Linked DNA regions of Caenorhabditis elegans. The protein of the gene in region 1 interacts with the protein of each later gene in a pairwise test. Each region holds a gene or a part of one and is shown on either strand. Other genes may lie near its edges.

Region 1 (4,682 bases):
ACATTTTTCTCAATTTTCTGAAAAAAAAATTTTTTTTTCTAAATTTTAAAATTTTCTAATTTTTTTAAAACCTTCACATAGGTTTTCAAATATGCGGAATTCGATTTCTTTATTTCAATTTTTCCAATTTTTCCCTGTAAAGTGATAATTTCCAGCCTTACCACTCAGCATCCCATCGTGCCAGTGAATGGGAGTAGTCGGCCGGTCCAAATCCTCATCTCTATTGTTCAGAATAATTAATTTGTATTTTTCACTGGGTGAAGTAGCAATTTTAATAAATCCAATGCACATTTTGGAAAACTCTGGAAAAAATCCGAAAATGAATTTTTAATTGAATTTTTTGAATTTTTTGAATTTTTGGGTGAAAAGTGTTGGAAATTTGCAAATTTTGAACAAAAATGAGAAGTAGTTTGAAGAAATGAAAAATTCCAAAAGAAAATTTCCAAAAAAAAAAATTTCAAAAAAAATTTTTTTTCAAATTTTTTCAACATTGAATATTATCAGTGCTACAATACACATATGACCACAATATAGGCTTCAGTGCAAAAGTTTTTGCAGAAAAAAAGTTTATTCCCGGGGAAAATAACATACAAAGTACACACAGAAACGCGGGAAAAAATGATGACATTTTCTTTATCACAAAAAAATATCAGATAAGAGAACAATAATCAGAGATCATAAAACAATATATACACTGGAACAATACAAAAAAGAAAAGATAAATAATTTTTTTCCAAATTTTTTTATTTTTGAAAATTCCATAAATTTCATATTAAATTCAATTTTTCCTTTAAATTCTGAGCCTTTTACATTTTTTCTGGAGCTTCTAGCCCAAAATCTAGAAATTTGGGTTACTGTAGTTTTGGAAGTACGCAAACACCGGATTCTACGGAATTTTGCACAAAAACGCTGAAAAGAATGATATAGATGTGAAATTCGTCGGAGAGCTCGAATTTCACACTGAAAAAATGTTTAAAACTTCGGAAAATGCTGAAATTTCAGATTTTTGGATTTATATTGATTTTCGACACTAAAAATTGAGAATTCTCATGTTTTAATGTGCAAAATTCGAATTTCCCGTCGAATTCTGAGTGAGAATCGTTTTTCCCGGTATTCTAGCGCTGAATTTGAACATTTTCGGGTACTTCACACTGCAAAGGTTGAAAAAATCTCAAAAAATGCTGAAATTTCAAGCATTTAGAATTTTATGGTATTTTCCGCAGTTAACATTTGGTATTTGTATACTTTACTGAAAAATTCGAAATTTTTATCGAATTCTGAGCTAATCCGTCTATTTATAGGCTTCTAGAGTTAAATTTGAGAAATTTTGGGTACTGTAGCGCCGAAAGCACGCAAACACCGACTACCGTACTCAAAACACCGGACTTGACGGAATTTTGCACTAAAACTCTGCAAAGTTGCTACCCGAGGTAAAAGGTGATGAAAAACTAGAATTTTACAATAAAATCTCATCAGAAATTGCAGAAAATTTCGAATGATTTCTCTGACAATGTCGTTTCAAGTTCTTTTCACTATCACTGCTATATTCGCATTTCTCGCATCGAATTGATCCTCCTTTAATATTCATTCCACGTTGAAAATGTGTCTGATGATTTGTTTGTTTTCCATGTCTGAAAATATTTAAAAATTTAAGAAAAATCGTGAAAATCTGTAAATTTTAGAGAAAAATCGATTAAAAATCTGCAAAAATCAATAGAAACTGTTTTTGGTAACTACTAATTTTTTGGGCGCTGCTAATTTTTTGGGCGCTGCTAATATTTTAGGCGCTGCTAATTTTTTGGTCGCTGTTAATTTTTGGGCGCTGCTAATTTTTTAGGCGCTGCTAATTTTTTGGCGCTGCTAATTTTTTAAGCGCTGCTAATTTTTTGGGCGCTGCTAATTTTTTGGCGCTGCTAATTTTTTGGTCGCTGCTAATTTTTGGTCGCTGCTAATTTTTGGTCGCTGCTAATTTTTGGTCGCTGCTAATTTTTGGGCGCTGCTAATTTTTGGGCGCTGCTAATTTTTTGGCGCTGCTAATTTTTTGGGCGCTGCTAATTTTTGGTCACTGCTAATTTTTGGTCGCTGCTAATTTTTGGGCGCTGCTAATTTTTGGGCTCTGCTAATTTTTTAGGCACTGCTAATTTTTGAGCGCTGCTAATTTTTTGGGCACTGCTAATTTTTTAGCCGCTGCTAATTTTTGGGCGCTGCTAATTTTTTGGTCGCTGCTAATTTTTGGTCGCTGCTAATTTTTTGGGCGCTGCTAATATTTTAGGCGCTGCTAATTTTTTGAGCGCTGCTAATTTTTGGGCGCTGCTAATTTTTTGGTCGCTGCTAATTTTCTGGGCGCTGCTAATTTTTGGGCGCTGCTAATTTTTTGGGCGTTCTCACCTGTAAAGTGCTTTTCGATTAGGAAAACTCCCCGAACATTCCGCACAAATCGATTTTTCCCCGCAGATTTTTATCGATTTTTTCGGAATTTCCGGTGGTTTTTCTGGCGGTTCGGCGGGAATTTGAATTTTTCGCTCAATTTTTCGGCGAGGAGGTCGTGTCGCGTGTTCGGCGGTTTTTCCGTGTCTGAGAAAATATTTTTTTAAAGAAAATTTCTGTTTTTTTTTTAAATTAAAATATAATATACCTGTAAAGCCCTTTCCGATTGTTAAATGCATCTCCACACGTAAAACAGTACAATTCTCTAGGTTGTGACGTGACGAACGACGATGACGTAGTAGTGTCTAATGCCACGTCATCATAGTAGATGAAATCCTGCGATGACGTAGACGGCTCCAGGTGACCGAGAAAATCAGCGGCGGATGGATCCAAGAAATCTTCCTGAAATGATGAGAAATTGCAGCGCCCAAAAAATTAGCAGCGACCAAAATTCCAAATTTCCCAAACTTTTCCCTAATTACGTACCACCATATGTTTTCCCATATCCACTAGACATTCTTCCTGTGTATTTTGGAAGTTATCCTCAATAAATATCACACTTTGTGTCATTTCTTCAACTGCTGCGTCCATACGTTCTGGAAGTACTTTTTTCAAAAAATTAAAAAAATTTTGCTCGTCTCTACAAACCTATTGCTTCTGAAAGATGAACGTCTGGTAGTTGTGAAAATTCGTGTTTGAGTTGCTCTAGGTGTTCTAAGAAGCTTTCCATCTGAAAATTAGTTGATCGTGGCGGGACCCCCCAGAAATTCGAATATTTTCTGAAATTTTCAAACTTAGTCATGATTATACTTTTTCAAACCGCAGTGGTCTTCTGATTCCAAAAATTTACAGAAAATGGGTCTCACCACGAAAACCAGAAGTTTTCATGGCCGGACCCAAAAATTCAAACTTTTCAAACCTAGTCATGATTATACTTATTTAAACCGTCATTTTATACTAATTTCTAATAATGTCAAATGAAATCGATTGCTCGAAAATTCACACTTTTCGTGGCGAGACCCAAAAACTCGAAAAAATAAATAAATTCGGAGTCTAGTAATGATTATACTTATTAGAACCGCCATTTTATGCTGATTTCAAAACTATAAAATTTCAGGAATTTCGATCGAAAATCACCGAGTTATCCTAGTTTTTCTGATTTTCGCGGCGGGACCCAAAAATTTAAAATTTTTAAATAGTCGTGATTATACTCATTCAAACCGCGCATTTCATGTCAATTTGAAAACTATTATGAACTAGAAATTTCGATCGAAATTTGCCGAGTTCCGCTAGTTTTTTGGTTTTCGTGGCAGGACCCAAAACTCAAAAAAAAATTAATGAATTCGAAACCTAGTCATGATTATACTTATTCGAACCGCTGTGATCTCCTGATTTCAAAAACATACAAGAAAACCAGCGGGTTACTGTAGATTTCATGGCAAGGCTCAACTTTTACAATTGTCGTTAAGTTATAATGGAAATTCGAAACCATATTGTGTAAAAGTGACTCAAAATTGAAAAAAAAAAACAATTATTTATTTATTTTGAAAATTAAAAAAATTCAAACAAAAATCCAAAAAAAAAAATTTTGAAATTTTTTATTTCAAAATTTAAATTTTTCGCATTTTCAAAAACTAAAAAAAATTTAAAAAATCATTTCAATATTCCATCGTATCCTGCACAATAACTTCTTCTTCTTCAATAATTTGTTCATGATCCCACACTTCTTCTTCTTGTTCCTGATGTACAATATGGTGGTGGTGCTCCACACCGAATCTCTGCTCCATTCTAGCCAAAAGCCCGTCGGCCCGGTCTAAAACCGCCGAAAATCTGTCCTGATTTTGCATTTCTCGTCGAATAAGCTGTAATTTCAGCTCGTGAAGGTTTTCAGCCGATGTTGATGACGTGGATTGTTGGGGTTCCGGTGGGAAGGTGACACGTTTTAGTAGCGGTGGTGGTGATGGGGCAAGGTTTCTGGAAAAAAAACTTTTGTTAAAAAACATTAAATATGATATTTCTTATTGAAAAATAGAAAATAGAAATTTGAGATTTTCAAAAAAAAAAAATTTTTTTTTCAAAATTTTTATATTTAATTTCGAATTCCGTACTTCTGCAAATTTTCTACCACAGGATCCATAGAACCAGTAGCCTCCACAAATTCTTGTTCCTCATCAGCAATTTGTTGATATCTCGAGTACTCCTTAGACTCTGTTCGTACTCCATTTTGCTTGAAAGCTGGCTCAAATTGAATTGGT
Region 2 (7,619 bases), on another chromosome or scaffold:
TTCAATTTTATTCTTCATTCCTTTTACTTTCTTTTTAATTAGAGAACGATCCGAGTGATTTTGAATTCCCATTGCCTAAAAAATATTGATTCAGATAAACAATTTCAAGTGGTGTGATTTCCCAAAATTGTGGAAAATTTGAAAAAGTTGACGTCACATAAGGTTTATAGAATGCACCTATTTTAAGCCTTGTATATTCTAGGCACTTTTCAGGTAGGCAGACTGTGCCTACTAGACCTGAAGGGTTTTTGGGTTTGGCACAAGAAACTGAAAAATCAAAAACAAAAGTTCAGTCTCTCTTGCTCGAAAAGTGACATTTCTGTTGTTTTTATGAAATAGAGTGTAACATAAATATTGAATTCATTTCAGAATTTTCAGGAATCTTTTTCTCGGTTTTACCCAAAAAACCGAAAAGTTTAAAAAATTTTAGCACCTTGGTGCCTACGAAATAGTTTAACTTTTCGTTATGTAATTGCAGCGTTTTTTTTTTCTACCCGAGTTTTCTTGCGCCGGGATCGTATACATCTTACTCACCTTCAGTTTATTTCCGTCGAGCTCGAGGAACTTGGCTCCATCGATCTTATTAATGGTGAACTCTGGCACATATTTGTCCAAGCCCATTGAAACGAGCAACTGACAAACATCGTCCACCGTCCAATGAAGAGCTTGAAGACCAACTGGTTGACACGTGGCACGCCAGAACTCGTTTTCGGCGTACTTCTTTCGGAGTGGGAACAGAAGTTTGCGATGCGTCAATTTATGTGGAAGAGCCGGAGATGCTGGCTCGGAGATACGAGGGACTGGCGACTCGCATGGTGATGAGTACTCTTCTGTCCAACTACTTCCAACTGATACTTCCGCATCTTTTTTGGTTGATGGAGTCTGGAAATGAAAATGGGTGTTATAATTAGTTTCTTACTTGGGCTTAGGCTTAGTCTTAGTCTTAGGCTTAGGCGTAGGCTTAGGCTTAGGCATAGGGCCTACGCTCAAGCTTAATTTTAGGCATTATGTGAAAACTGTTTTAGAATGAAGTTTGAAGATGAATGTTCTTTCATATTTTCTCCAACTTACAATAGTCTCCAAATTAACCATAACAGCCTTATCCTCGTGAGGAAGCTCTCCACCTGGTCTATACGCCATTCCTTCATTCCTCTTCTCAACTTTCTCCTTTAACTTCTCTCTCAACTCGATAAGCTCAAGATTCTGAATAGAATGCCTTCTCTCTTCAGCTTCTTCCAATTTCGATTCCAACTCATCAATTCGTTCTTTCAATTGACGAACTAATGATGCATAATGTACATCCTTATCTCTCAATTGTTCCACATGATTCTCTTCTCGATTCAACAACTCTTTTTCTCTTTCCTGATAGTTTTTAATCATATAATTTGCCTGCTCATTCTGCTTTTCCAGTTGATCACAATGTGATTTCGTTGAGCTCAACACTTCATGATATTGCTCTGCTTTCTTATGAGTAACATCAAGTTCCAGTTCAAGAGCAGCAATCTTCGAACGAATCTCAATTTCTTCTTTTGTGATCATTGAAGTTGTCGGACGATCCTGTTCAATTGGTAGCTGTGGCATTTGAGATGGTGGTGGTGGCGGCTCTTCGATATCGTCTTCCTCGTCTCCCATCATTCTCATTCTGTCGTGTTCAAGACTTTGTTGAATTAGCTGAGCAACTTCGGATTCTTCAAGGTTTTGTTCGCGACCTGCAATACATTTTTTTTAAATTGGAAGATAACTGGTAAACATAATTGAAATATTTTCTAGATGCTTTTTTTCTCTACGCTTGCGCGGAATATGGTGTATTGAGTCGCTGTTGCACACAAAAATATTTGTGTTATTTCACGGAGTCATCAATGCAATATATCATACGCGTTCGGCACAATACTCCAAAAAAAACCAACCAATTGTGAAAGTGACTCGATTGCTGGTGGATCTCAACGTGTTTGCAGCATACAACTGTGAGACACCGACCAAACTCTTTCCATCGACTGAAACAATTTGATCGCAGACACGAATTCGTCCATCTCGATGAACAGCTCCGCCAGGTGTGATGCTCTTTACAAAGATTCCCAGCTTTTCAAGACCCGAGTCTGCACCAACACCCATACCTGAAACATAACGAATTTATCCGAAAACCGTAGGCAGGCAGAAAGCATATAATTTTTTCCTAAACAGTAGCTTCAGGTTGACATTCCTTCAAGTTTAATTAAGCGCTTATATCTCGGTTATCTTTGGTTATGCCGAGAAAAGAAAGTTTCCAACTATAAAAATGAAACAGAAACTGTGAGCAACATCCGATTGTAACCGAGATACAAGGCTTCTAAGTTATGGTAAGCCACAATACAATCACTAACCAATAATAGAGACTCCAAGTCCCTCGGCACCCTTTTCCAAATCAACTTCAAACAAATCCATTCTTTCAAGTCGTCTCTCCAATTCATATTCAGCACAACTTGCCACCGGATCAATGTCTTCATTCTTGCGATCGTAGTCTTCAACGGAAAACGCCGAGAAGACCTGAAAGTGAAAACGTTTAGATATTATGCAAATGAAGATCGCTTTCTCTTTCTCTTTTTCTCTTGTTCCTCATCTCTTATCATATCAATAAGGTGACCTAATTCGAGATTGTATAGATATATCTATTAATGAATTAATATCACCTTGCCACATATATGTAAACAAAAGGAAATGTTAGGTTGTGGTGGTCAAGTTTCAGTGAATGCATGTTTGCTCTATTGATAGTTTCAAAAAGATTTTTCTCGGCCACGTTTCAATCTGTCTTGGCCTAGAAAAAGTATAAAATTATTTTGAACATCATACATTCCATAGAGCAAACTTGCAACAACAAAGAAACATGAGTGAATGGGAAAAGTGGGTGATCTTACCGGAATAGGTGCAGTGCTGAACGAGACCTTTCGATTCGTTAAATCCACGTCAGGCCTCTCTGGACTCAGACCCCTCCGTGTTTCCATGAGTCCTCTGTTTTCTGATGTTGTTTCAAGTTCTGTTTCCTTTGGTGTTTTGACGACGGCGTATGTCGTGTGCTTCACTCCATTCGTCGTTGGTGAGATTCCATCGTTTTCCTCGCCAAAACTGAAAAAAAAGTTTTGATCGAAGAAATTTGATTATTTATATTAACAGCAACTCATTTTCATGAAATGATTGGTTTTTTCAGGTGCCTGCATATATTAAATTTACTAAAAAAACAATCTGGCGCAAATCGTATCAAATTTTTAAATTTTAAAAAATGTGAATGTCCGATAAAAAATCGGCGTTCTAAAAATATATCTAGACACACTAAATGAATTTTTATCACAAACACAGTGCGGTTTTTTAAAAACTTAAGGTTACGATAGATCCTTCATAAGCTTGCCAACAATGGGCTTGAAAAGGGTTTTTACGGTTCCAACGAGCCGATATGTGAGAAAACTCGGCCACGCTATTTTAGCAATTTCTGTAATCTTAATAGATTTTTCAAATTGAAAAATTCGAAAATTTCAAGATATTATGTGCCATCACTATTCTGAAAGATCCAAAGAAGACCGTGTTCCTGAATGAATCAAAAATTTTACTTTTAGTTTTGTACTTTGGAAAAGTCACAAGGATCTTTTTTTTAGCAAATTCAAAAAAAATCCCGAATGAGAAATCTAAGAAAATATGCTGGCCAAGTTTCTGGTTTTTTCTAGGCCACATTTTTTTTCGAAAAAACACAAATATTTGTTAGTCGCAACTAAAATACTTCAGCGCAAGAAAAAAAACTATTATAGAGAAAAATAAAGAAACTCATGCGAGAAAGTAAGAAAAATAAAAGAAGCGAAACACATACGGTTTGCCATTTCCTTCGAATTGCCTCCGATATATTGATCCATTTCTCCAATAGGGTTCAAATGAATTCATATTAATATTATTATTATTGTTGTTGGTTTGAAGTCCTCCATATTGCGACGTGGCAACCGTATTTTCGAACGAATACTGCTGTGTGGAATCGGAATATGATGACGGAAGAGTTGATGATCTGAATTGGAAAAAGAAAAGGCATGCGAAGCTGATAATGAAGCAAAGAAGAATGTTAGTTGAAATTAAAGAAAAAACAGAGATTTTGGTTTTTTTTTCGATTTGAAAATTCAAAAAAGTTCCTTTAAAAAAATTCTCAACTAATTTATCTGAATTTCGCACAGTTTCCTAGAATTTCTGAAATCTAGTTGCAGGCGACTTTTTGTAACTACCAAAAAAAATTAAAATACTTTGGCCCGCGAACCGAATGGAGAAAATTGCGATTGATCAAAAAAAATTACAGTTACATTTTTTTGAGAATTAAAAAAAAGTTATGGTATGGTAACAAATCCTTAAAAAAACAACTCACTTATTTTGTATAAACCTAGACGTTGCCGGCGATGATTGGATCCGATCGAGATCCGCGGCCAAATCAGAGAAATTTCGTTCGACCTGGAAAAGTTTTCGAGTTTTCGATTATGTGTTATATGCGTGTGTGTCTGATGGGGGAAAGGAGTGTGTGTGTGATATGAGTAAATGCCATTATTTTTGAATCTATTATCGATGAGCGGATTAGTCAACCGAACAGTATAACAGAGACGGGGGTGTTGGAGACACAAAACATTGACTAACTGACACAGTCTTTGAATTTTTAAATTCCATTTCTTTTTCCAGAAAACAGAAAGAGAAGGAGAGAGAGAGAAAGAGAGCCATGTGATTGTTTGATCACACATACCTGTGACATCGGACTCGGCGGACATTGAGATGGAGGTTTTGGGGGTAATGGAGGTGGTGGTTGACGTTGAAGACGTGGAGAGTAGAATGATGGAACCTAGAAACATTATTTTTTAATTGACACTACAGTAGTCTGCTTGCCCAATTTAGAGTTTGTTTTGGAAAAAGCGTGGCGGGCATCTGATGTTTGAAAAAGTTAGCTTACTATTAGCTCAGAAGTTGGCAAAATTTGGGCAAGACTTTGAAAATACTGGGTTTAAGCTGTGTTTAACAAAACTTGAGTTATAAATATGGTAGAAGTCTAAATCAAGTCGACAGTGTTTCCAACTTTTGACCCAAATTAATAATTGTTGAGCAAAACTTGATCATAGGGAAACCTCTTTTTCAGACATTTTTCAGACGTGACGTCAAATTTCTTAAACGTGAGGCTGTGAAGTGATACAGAAACTGGTAGTCAGAGTATCTCTTTTCCGAATGATCTCCGAAAACTTCGCCAAATTTAGACGCAGACTTTTCAGCTGGTGATCTAAAGAGCGGGGACGTCATACTTTTTCACTTTTCCTGTGAGCAAAATTCCAGCAATTTTCATAGATCAAATCAAGAGAGGGGACTTATTCTTTGAAGGCCTAAGTGAAGAATCTACTAGCAGGCAAAACTTGTTCATAGGGAGCTACAGATTTGATCTATATAGCCAGGAAAATCATTTTGCGAAAAATTGCATAAAAATTCTGGAATATATGCTCTAATCCACAATTTAGTGAGTTTTTTCAAGAAAAATAAATAACCGTAATGCAAAATAGCAAAATGATTTCAAAATTCGGAAACCAATTATTATCATCCAAAAAAAACTCACGTCTTGCTGTCTCTCAAGCTGCTCAAAAAGAGCCTTTGTATGTGAGAATCGAGCTCTTGCGTCGTCTGACAGCAGCTCGGAAGCCGTTGTCATCTCGGCTGTTTGGATTGAATTAGGCAGCTGTAAAATTGAATTTTTCAAAAGGTGGAAAGGTTGGGGAGCGGATATAATTCGTATCAGTTTAGGGGAACTGAGGAGCGAACGGGCGGTACGGGAAAGGGTGTCAATATCCGAGGATATTGCATAACCTTAACAATAAAGGACCGTTTTGCGCGCATGTCTTCTCCGGTTGGAATGACCTGAAATGATATTCCCCCGTGAGATTTGTCTGCGACTCACCGTCTCGCACACTATTTTGTTATCAGCAGCGGTGCGCACGACGCATGCACCGCCCACTTGCTGTTGTTGTTGTCCCGGCGACGTCTTCTTTTCTGAAGAGATTTTCAATTTCAGAATTGATTAGAATATTTCCGAGGCTTGGAGAAAAGAAGAAGAAGAGGAATGACAGAAGGATTTACGGGAAAGTGAAAATATCTATTTATTCATAATTATATTCTTTTTCGTCTCCCGGGTGATAACTGTGATAAGGATCAGGTTTTTGGGCACCGGACGGGGTGGTTGGATGAGGACTAATTGGATTGCGTTCATTTGTGTGAAGAAGGAAAAGCGAAATTCGGATTCAGAGCGGAGGCAAGAGGAAAGTGGAAGAAAAAAGGAGATTAAAAGGGAAAAGGTGCCAAAAAGTATAGAGAGTCTAGACTCGATATAATCAAATCAATTATTGAATTAGAATTGTCGCAAAAATCAGAAATTTCGCAAATAATTCTGGGGATAAAAATTTAAAGTTAGATCACAGATACGAGGTGTTCCTAGACGTAGGAAGGCACCTCTTATTCGCCTTTCTACTCGCCCTATCTGAACCGCACAGCCGAACCATTTTTGAATTCAATTATCAATTCGCCATATTTTACGGTACATCAGTGCAAATGCGCTCTACATTGATCCAAAAAATTAGTATTTTTGAATACTTTTTTTGAAGTCACGAAATTGGACCACCGATTTTTTGGCCCAAAAAATTTAACCAAAAAAAAATAAGCTCAAACTTCAGGGTATCAGATAGGCAAATTTGACCGTGAGGGTGTCGGCCAATAAGGTTTGATGTTTGAATTTATTTTTCAACTAAATCTTATTTTGAAATATTAGGAAAACAAAATGTTCTACATATCCTTAAAATCCAAAAAAAAATCAGAGATGAAGGAAAGTATGTTTTTGATGAAAAATTCTCAAACACCCGACATTCATCAATCATCACAGAACGGGGGCTCTCAATCTTTGTTTTTTTCCTCACTTTTCTTTTCACATATTTATTTTTACAGATATAAAATTAAAAGTGTCCATTCTAAGAAAAGATTTTTTAGAATGAATGAAGGAAATAATGAGAAATGAGGATGGAATTGAGCATGTAAACATGACGACGAGGGAGGCTATAGATATATTTACGGACTGGCAAAAAATTGGAAAAATATTTACTTGGAGCCAGAAGCTTTTGGGAAATGAGTGTGAAAAATATGGAAAAATCTGGAACAAATAGCAATACTTTTCGAGTTTTCTTTCAGCATTCTAGATAAGTTTGCAAATAAAAAACCCAGCTTCTATACTGGAGGGTGTTCTTAAATTGACGAAGGTTGCTGAAATTGGCTGAATTTAAATTTTCCGAGCGCAAATTGTTTCAGGTGGGAATATATTTTCAAGCCTTTTTTATTGCTTTGGCTACTATTGATTTGAGTACTACATTTTCAGTTTAAAAAAAACTGTCAAAAAAATTCTGCAAAAATCAATTTTGGAATTTAAAATCTCTAAACTTGCAAAAAATATGCTGAAAAAAATTTTTAAAATTCAAACTCTGATTTTTTTCAAGTTCCAATAAACTTTGAACTTTTAAGAATAAGAAATGTCAAGAAACTGACGATGTCTACAAAAATAAACGAGCCGGAATGAAAGTGCGCAACGGGCTGGAAGCCAGTGGAAAACA

Evidence for each region.
Region 2: the proteins of ztf-20 (region 1) and nab-1 interact in a two-hybrid assay, tested with the Caenorhabditis elegans proteins (one large-scale study listed by BioGRID).

What each region holds. Positions count from the first base shown.
Region 1 is NC_003283.11:18,957,016-18,961,697, forward strand, and holds ztf-20 (C2H2-type domain-containing protein), read right to left. Parts: upstream 3,158-4,682; coding exon 3,076-3,157; intron 3,033-3,075; coding exon 2,914-3,032; intron 2,830-2,913; coding exon 2,636-2,829; intron 2,575-2,635; coding exon 2,389-2,574; intron 1,632-2,388; coding exon 1,457-1,631; 3' UTR 552-1,456; downstream 1-551. Other genes in the region: hrg-10 (DUF833-domain-containing protein), read right to left, coding at 162-291; Y39B6A.43 (DUF4124 domain-containing protein), read right to left, coding at 4,086-4,401, 4,536-4,682.
Region 2 is NC_003279.8:4,227,976-4,235,594, reverse strand, and holds the start of nab-1 (Neurabin-1), read right to left. Parts: upstream 6,019-7,619; 5' UTR 5,927-6,018; intron 5,710-5,926; exon of another isoform or gene 5,708-5,709; 5' UTR 5,681-5,707; coding exon 5,588-5,680; intron 4,832-5,587; coding exon 4,736-4,831; coding exon of another isoform or gene 4,652-4,735; exon of another isoform or gene 4,453-4,651; coding exon 4,370-4,452; intron 4,022-4,369; coding exon 3,833-4,021; intron 3,100-3,832; coding exon 2,892-3,099; intron 2,524-2,891; coding exon 2,361-2,523; intron 2,115-2,360; coding exon 1,908-2,114; intron 1,710-1,907; coding exon 1,072-1,709; intron 883-1,071; coding exon 535-882; intron 76-534; coding exon 1-75.